Schizosaccharomyces pombe: one gene and its partner. Changing the gene in region 1 together with any one later gene gives a genetic interaction. Each region holds a gene or a part of one and is shown in the gene's direction. Other genes may lie near its edges.

What was found.
Region 2: mutations in puc1 (region 1) and SPOM_SPAC823.09C together harm fitness less than expected from each alone (positive genetic interaction), as found in Schizosaccharomyces pombe (one large-scale study listed by BioGRID).

The regions. Positions count from the first base shown.
Region 1 is NC_003423.3:3,698,671-3,703,714, reverse strand, and holds puc1 (G1 cyclin Puc1), read left to right. Parts: upstream 1-2,025; 5' UTR 2,026-3,062; coding exon 3,063-4,142; 3' UTR 4,143-4,517; downstream 4,518-5,044. Other genes in the region: SPOM_SPBP8B7.31 (acid phosphatase), read right to left, coding at 4,678-4,742, 4,796-4,915, 4,991-5,044.
Region 2 is NC_003424.3:2,593,987-2,598,191, reverse strand, and holds SPOM_SPAC823.09C (threonine aspartase), read left to right. Parts: upstream 1-2,246; 5' UTR 2,247-2,372; coding exon 2,373-2,458; exon of another isoform or gene 2,459-2,498; coding exon 2,499-3,226; exon of another isoform or gene 3,227-3,278; coding exon 3,279-3,400; exon of another isoform or gene 3,401-3,457; coding exon 3,458-3,559; 3' UTR 3,560-3,647; downstream 3,648-4,205. Other genes in the region: glycine transporter Hem25, read left to right, coding at 983-1,387, 1,456-1,941; ATP-dependent RNA helicase Rrp3, read left to right, coding at 4,148-4,205.

The DNA.
Region 1 (5,044 bases):
GTTTCTTCGTACTAAAAAAAACGAAGAGGTTTTAATATGTCATTTTACGTAAAAAAAATGTCTGGAATAGGGTGGTATTATTATGATTTTGTACAAAAAGGTCTTTTATTATAGGAGTTTATTTTATTTTTATTTTTTCCGATAAAAAGCATAGATTAGTTGCTAGTTAGTTTATCAATAAAACATTTCAAGGTGACACACCCATCCACAATATGATTATGGCAATGTAGCTGTGAATTTCCAAAGTCTGAGTTGTTTATTCCCATTATCGATTGGAGCATTATGCCTGTAATATGGTTTCACTTGATTCTAGGCAGATAGGCGTACAATTTTACGAACCCAAATTTTTTGATTAATAGACTTAACACGGCGAACTAAAATTTAACCGAACGCTATTTTTGTTACACCACATAATTAGAAAATTACTCGCATGAGGATAATTAAAAATACTCTGGTAAAATTAAAATTATTGTAGAAGACAGCTTGTATTTAAAGAGTAGCAATTACCATCTACAACTTATAAAGAAAACATATTCAAAGTAACAGAATCTTACAAAGGATATATATGCAAATGAAACGAAGAAAGCTCATACATGAACCCGTCTACGTTTCTAAACTTGATTACATTTGATATATTCAAAATAAAATAAAGAAGTGAAATAAGTGATTGACGTAAAAAATTATTTTCTTGCCGATGAGATTATACATTCGTTTGTTTATTGAAATTTGTTCACAACTTAGATAAATCTGTTTAGTAGTACCAGTTTTATGTACCCCCATTTAGTTACTACGATCCCACTTAAAATGTAATACAAACTGTCAGTACTAACCAGAAGAAGGACAATAGTACTAACGACTTAGACCCCCCACTTTGGTACAAAAACACCACCTGAATCAACAGCATGTAAAGTAGAAGTCATAGATTAGAAGCATGAGAACATTTCGTAGTGAAAATAAAACATTGCGTTGAGAAGCAATCTCGTTCAACTACCAAACATTTTTTTCCATTGAATAGAATAATGTTATGACCTTTAAGCCAAGCAATGCGTTTTTCAACGTTTTGGTTCTGTTATTTTCTATCCTACTTTTATCCGCACCACCAGGTGGAATTATCTGTGAAACTAGACGGCTCATAAATATCGTTATGTCACTGATTGCGAATCTATTTATCCATGCTAGTTATTCATGTTCATTCCCCACATTCTCCTCAAAAATTAATTATTTCATCGGAAATTAACTGACTTAAGTCTTGACTATTATTTACAATTTGTTTAATCCATATACTAAGTGATAAACATTTACACACAGTAATTGGGCTGCTTATTTCCTTCTGCTATGTAAAATAAAGATTGCGGTATATGCTATTGTGAAGAAAATCGATATTATTAATGTTAATCTATCTAGCTGTAGTTATAGCTGGATTGCACCAGCCATTTTGTTAATAACGTGATTTTCATAAAAAAAAAGCTGTAGATGATCGAACGGGTCAATATTTACATTCTTGAATAATTGATTTACCTCTGCTTCTTGTCCCCACTTTTTCTTACTTGCGTGCGCAATGTTAGCAGTACGTACATTTCACGATTTGGCCAATATGATTTACAGCAAGTAACTTATCAATTAACCGCTTTTGAAAATCAAAATTTTGTACTAGTTTCTTTGTTCAAGTTCTTTGATAGATGGCGTGCTATGAATGGAATAGTTTTGGGCTACGTCGTCACTTACATGATGTGCTTGACCCATTGAATTAATTGTGTGTTAGTACTTTACGCTTTCAGTACACATCGTTGGTATGGTAAATTTGTGAATCGGCCATACCAAGATGGAGATCACTTGAGGCTTAATTAATTCAAATCCGAAAATTCCGGTTGTTGTTACTAACAGTAGCTAGTTACGTTGCAGAAATTACGAGTTAGAATGGACATTGTACATTCACAATGTAAGGATACCGATTCGCGATATTGTCACTACACTATAAGATTTATCCTTATAAAGATATCGATTGCCCACCGTTTATAACCTTCCATAATTTATCTCTTTACCAGTTCCGCCTTGTTTTTTGTTACATTCTCTTTTCTTACCACACCATAATTGCTTTTGGTATACAAGCGACAACTTTATTTATTGCTTGGTACGAATCGTTCACAAATTCGATCTCTTAGTCGTATCCGTTTATCATTTTTTATAAAATAGTAGCTGACGGAACTGAATTGTTTTCTTTAAAAGAGTCTGTACCACTTACTTTTCTCCAGCTTTTGGTGTTCTTTTATAATTTCTGTCCTATCAAGGTTGCGGTAAATTAAATTGACTGCACTGTAAATGAATTCGAAAGTTTGAACAGCGTAACCAAATTTTGTTTTTCTTTTGCAATACATCGTTTGGTTTAATTGAAATTTATTTCCTTATTTTTGCTGCATATGGACATATTTTACTAAATATCTTTCTCTTCCTTTTATTTTTTTTTATTTTTTTTTTCTTTTTGGAATTAACCTTGTGTTTCTTTGTAATATTTTCATTAGTATGAATGCATTGTCTGCTTCTGAAATCCGTTAATCAAACTAAATAACTATTCACCGAACCTTTTTGGAAACATATATTTATCGCATCTAATTTCTTCCGCTTCATTTTGCATTCTTTTAATATTTATATAGCCTTTTTTCACTATATATTATTGGGTTCTTTCGTCTTGGCTTTTTACAAGTCCTTTGCAATTTACTCTTTCGATTCCTTTATATTACCCCTTCCATTATTGATATCTCTTTAGCGTCCTTGAAAACCCAGTAATTTTTCCCTTTTTTTTAATCGTCACCTCACTCTTTTTTTTTCTTCCTTTTTAAATCGTCCCTTAATTTTCCGCCGTTGTATCGCTTTCAGTTAGTTAAACACTATTCGCTTTGACCACTACCTCTTAACAAGCAATCTGAGCCTGTTTATGTCCAATTATTTTTTCTTCAGTATCATTTTTTTAATAATTCACTGAACTTTGAGCTGCAACTTCATCGACTGTGAAGAGCTTTTCTACTCTTTCCTTCTCATTATTTTCAAATACCTGTCTACCCAGTATGTTAGTTTCTTCCAATGAGGAACAACTTACTGCTCATACTCCCACTTCATCTTCAAGTATAGAACCTAAAATATTAGCTGCCTGTTCATATTCTCTATCAGTGGGCCCTTGCTCTTTAGCTGTTTCACCAAAAGGCGTTAATTCCAAATCTCCCTCTCTTAAAAATGAGACTGCATTTGTTGTCGACTCTGTTAGCACATTGTCAGCGGAATCTAGCGCCTTACTTTATAACACTCAATCCTCTTTACTCACTGGTTTATCAATGAACGGGTATTTAGGTGAGTACCAGGAAGACATTATCCATCATCTGATTACTAGAGAGAAAAATTTTTTGCTGAATGTCCATCTTTCTAATCAGCAACCGGAACTCAGATGGTCAATGCGACCTGCACTCGTTAATTTTATTGTAGAAATACATAATGGATTCGACTTGTCTATTGATACTCTTCCGCTTAGTATTTCCCTCATGGATTCATATGTCTCGAGGAGAGTGGTATACTGCAAACACATTCAGTTAGTAGCATGTGTTTGTCTTTGGATTGCCAGTAAATTTCATGAAACAGAAGACCGTGTTCCATTATTGCAAGAACTGAAGTTAGCTTGTAAAAACATCTATGCTGAGGATTTATTTATTCGTATGGAACGCCACATACTTGATACTCTTGATTGGGATATCTCAATCCCTACACCAGCTTCGTATATTCCTGTTTTAGACCCGATTTTTTTCTTAGTACTTGATGCATCAATGTTTGTACCTAATTTATTCAAATTTCCCGCTTCCAAAATCGCATGTTCAGTTATGAACATCGTAAACGAACATGTCGGATCGTTTCTTTTGACACACCCTTCTATGGAATCCTATCGCAAAGATGATAACTTTTTGTGGCCTGAAGACTTGGATACCGTAACATCATATATGGAAAACATGTCAAAGAGGTATGCTAATGAGGAATGTACTGATTTACTGTTTTCCTCACTAGGCCGTATTTCTAGTATTTTAGCAAAGAAATATCCGGAACAATGCGCAATGGCTGCCTGGTGCAACATGACTGAAAAGGATACTGAGCGTACTTTGTAACTTTAACATTGCTTCTTCTTCGATTTATATATATTGCAATGCTTCTAGACAAACATGTAATGGAGATATAATTTCAAAATTATATATTTACTTGAGAAAAGTAAGTGTATAGTGATGTAATTTTTTTTAAGAATTTTTATAAAATTCATTATATTAATCAATTAAACTACTCTGTTATGTTCTTTGTTTTCCTAAACCGGTTTGCAACTATGCTCATATGACATTATACCGTTTGTATATATTTTTGTTATTTATTTATATGATACTTACTTAGTTTGCAAAAAGAAAAGAGAAAGTTCATAAGAAACCCCATATTACAGATTGAAGCAATTTAGGTCTTTAATAGATTTAATTTCTAAATTTGATTCTTCACCCATTAAAAGTAGTATCAGTGTTTCCCAATTTTAACAATGATACTGTGATTAAACAAAATACATCTCAATTCGAATAGAGACTTCTAAATATAAGTTAAAGCACGATAGTTGTTTTCTTAAGATGCAAGCAAAATTGATTAACTTTTCTTTCAAAAGAAAAATTAACCATGCATATGATTTTTTAGAAATGAAAGAATATTTAGTGAGTTTTTTTTAATTTTCTCCACTTGTTTATACCTTGCTCAAAGGACGCACGATTAAGGCCATCAGGAACTAAACAGAATGTAACACCAAGTCTTTCAACCTCTCTGTTCCTAGACTCATCATCAAAAAACACCATTTCTCGATAGTCAATTCCAGATTCGTTGTGGATCTCTTTGAAGTGATCCATTTTACTACCTATTTCACAATAACTAGTTAGCAATATGATTATTGATATTTTCTGTATTGACAAAAATGTATTAAAAGACATACCTGGCCAAGCTTTTACATAAGTGAAAAATTCGATAGCCGGCTTAAGACTTCCAT
Region 2 (4,205 bases), on another chromosome or scaffold:
TTTCCGCACACACAATCGTACCATAGTGAACTTGAATATTTCGCTAAAAGTATAGACTAACTAAATATTAACCCCGAAAAATTCAAACACTTATAGATATGCCTGAAGTTAAGAAAAAGGGATTGCAGAATGTATTTTCTCAATCTTTAATGCTTTATAAAGTCGTTGTCATTGGCTAAGATAAAAGTCATTTAGAAATAAATCAAATAGAGTTGAATGGAAATTTGATTCTATAACTAGTGTAAACAGTAAATAGGCATTTTCGTGTTATTTCAATAAATAAAATCATTATATTTTTCTTCTTTAATCTATTTCAAGTAAGGCGCCGTGTAATTAGGTATTAAGAGGTATTTGTTGCCTAAAATTCTCAAGTTTGTATTTCATTTCGTACTAAATATGATACTTTATTTGTTAATAGAGAATGATGAAAGTGTAAAATAGAGCAGGCAGTTTATCGCGTTTCCAATGTAAACTAGAAGAGATAGGAAATTTTGTTATACACGTTCCAAAGTAATGTCAATGTAATTTCAATAATCATGTGAACTTCTGATATAGTGCAATGAATTATGAACTTAAGCATCCATTGCTGATCGAATCATCTTCAATTAATCCAACGCATTACCTTCTGCAGTAATGGCTTCAGCAATTGCACTATAAATATGTAGCGAATACAATAATTACTAAAGCAAGACTAAGAATTTAAAAATCGCTCTACCTTTTAACAATGATTGTTCTGAATTTTTTTCACCATCCAGATTATGATGTACGCGAGAACGGTTATAGCGATACTTCCAACCTTCCCATTTTGCTACTGCCGTATGTTATCTCAATACATGTCTATGCAAACAAAGTTTTGAACGTAACTCCTATTTAAATCTTTTTTTGATTAGAAAATAAATAGATGATTTAGCTGAAACCTGAATTCTTTCGCATTGTTAAGCATAGTCGACTACACATAACTTTTCTGTACACCTTTCCCTAAATGTCAGAAATTAAGAAAACGGAGAAATTGGGTGTAAAAAGCAGTAAACATCTTGCTGCTGGTGCTTTGGGTGGATTTATTTCCAGTACAACTCTGCAGCCTTTGGATTTGTTGAAAACTCGTTGTCAACAAAGTCAACGCGACTCCCTTCCTAAAATGGTACGCCGAATAATCCTTCATGAAGGAGGTGTATTTTCTCTGTGGAAGGGTACTTTGCCCTCAATTTTAAGGTCTACCACTGGTTCATCTTGTTATTTTTATTTTTTGAACTGGTTAAGACATTTTGCTCCTCAATCAAAAAATATTGCGTCTTCCCATATACAGAATTTGTGGATGGGAGGATTTGCTAGAGCTGCTGTAGGATTTGCATTTATGCCTGTTACGGTTATAAAAGTTCGTTATGAGGTATGAGAAAAATATTGAAACTAATCATTCCCATATAGTATAGCATTTTACTAATCAACAATTGATAGAGCAACCTATATTCTTATACCACCATTTATTCGTCAATTAGGGATATTTGGAAAAAAGAAGGTATATCTGGTTTTTTTAGAGGATTTGGAGTCACCGCATTAAGAGATGCACCTCATGCTGGGCTATACGTATATTTTTATGAACTTTCTAAGCAAAACTTGCATAAACTCTTTGATCGATTCAGTCCATCCTCTTCGGTGCAAGGCACTGTGCCGCATCGCAATATTGTCAATGTAATGTCGGGTCTCATTTCAGGTGCTACTGCAACAGCTATCACAAACCCATTTGATATGCTCAAAACTCGTGTTCAATTAGAACCTCATATATACAAAAACTTTTTGCATTCTGCAAAACTTGTATATGCCAATGAAGGATTTAGAGGATTCCTTGATGGATTCTTCCTTCGTGTACTTCGAAAATCTATTTCATCTACAATTACTTGGTCTGTTTATGAATGGGCACTTCACCGTAAGGTTATTAAATAATTTAAAAAGAGAGAAAAAGGTTTAATTTATAGTACCATAAATTAACAGTATTGGTATGAATGAACCTGATCCGTTCGTTTGAGCACATAATGCTATTTTATTTTGACCTAAGTATTCTAATGTATTAATATAAACTTTTAATTAGATTTTTAATAGCTACTCTTTCTGCCGGTCAGTATGCATCATCTCCAACGTTCTGTAATTATTAGCTTTTACAGTGTACAAAGAATAAATACGTATTATTATAAATTCGTAATATAAACCTTTGAGTTATCGAATACAATGTTTGCTGCTAACACGTTGGTGCGCTTACTATTCCACCACATGGATCGTAACGACACTGCTTCTCGTTGTTGAACAAGTATGCTAAAGGTTATATTACAGGAATCTTAAGAACTTATCTTAGTCATACAAAAATACTTGCTGCAATAATGTCTAATGGCTTGGTAATTTTACATGCTGGCGCTGGCTTATACAGTGGTCAACGGGAAATCCAAGCCAAAAAAACCTGTTCTGAGTAAGTATTTACTGAAAGTTATTAATAAACTAACTTTCAGTGCTTGTAAAGCTGCTATTCAGGCTCTTAAAGTTGGCCAATCTGCCTTATCTGCTGCTATTCAGGCAGCAAAAATTATGGAGGATAGTCCAGTGACAAACGCTGGTGTAGGTTCTAATTTAAACATTGATGGAAAAGTTGAGTGTGAGGCTGGAGTCATGGATTCTGAAAGTGGTTTAACTGCAAGTGTTGCTTGTTGCAATTGCTGTAGGCATCCTTCAGAAGCATGTTTATATATTTTAAACAAAAGAAAGGTAATGAGCCAACATGGACTGGTACCTCCTGCAATGCTTGTTGGGAACGGAATAGAGAAACTTCTCCTTCATAGTAACATAAAACTTGTTCCAGAATCACATCTCATAACTGAGAGATCTATGAAAACTCAAATAAAATGGAAAGAAATCCTTTACCAAAATCCAATCAATCTCTCTTCGCAAGATACCATTGGCGTAATATGCGTGGATAAAAATGGTAGAATTGCCGTTGTAAGCAGCAGTGGAGGATTATTACTTAAACCAGCAGGGAGGATCGGATCTTCTCCGATACCAGGGCATGGTTTTTGGATTGAAAGCTTTGATAATAAGTCTCATTCCTCTACTTGTGCTGTTGCTACCTCTGGAACTGGTGAACATATTAGCAACACTTGTTTTGCTTGTCGTTCTTCACAACTTTTAGTTTCCGAGGATAATGTTGTATCATCTTTAAATAAATTAATTAATGACTTTCATGGTAAGCTTATTGACTTGTGCGTTCGTATCCCGTACTTGTTCTAACTGTTAAGAACATCCATCTGCAACATTATATTCAGATTTGCAAGTTGGAATCATCTTTGCTAAAGTTGAAACCTCAAATTCCCATAACAAAAGGATCATTTTTGGATTAGCACATTCATCGCCAGACATGGTAAGTGTATCTTGATTGTCAAAAAATGATTATCACAACTAACGAAATTTTATTAAGGTTTTTGGTTTTATGAAAGGGGATCACTCTAAACCTACAACAGAAATTTCAAGAAAGGGTTCCAAAAGGTCTTCTGTTCAACTTTATGCCGAAAGACTTTAAGACAAGGATTGCTCAACCAGGTTGAAATAATTTAGGCTAGAACTGTAAAAATCATCTTTTTAAAAAACAGTTTTTTTTTCCATGATAAGTTATTTGATTACGTATCGGTATTTTATTTTTTTGTTTCTTTACAATATTTCCAAAGTTCCAGAATTGAAATTATTGATGTAATATGAAGTATCAAATCTCTTAGTTTAACTCTTTGGAATTGAAAAACATTTCATACTTTAATCACATCGAATGTCTTCACAAGTTAATTTTATTAATTTCTTACATCTGTTATGAAGCTTTTTGATGTTTACAATGTTAATAAGACACTGCTTTAAGATAATGTTATTCTCACATCGCAAAAACATTTAAGGAAGCCTAGAGTATTCATTAAAAATTACAAACAGTTAATGCGACAAGCTTGAAAAAAACCACCAGTTTCCAAATTGGTGCTCGGTTTCGCTAATTTTTTCTTTCCTAATTACTTTTTCGAAGTTTTAGTAAATAACTTTCATTGATCATTAAATCTACAAATTACAGCTGTTGTGCTTGAACAACTGCTAATTATTTCTTTTTGGTGTCCGCAAAAGTTTTTATACAATGGCACCTTCTGAGAAAAAACTTACTGAGGATAAAAAAAATTCCTCATTGAATAAAA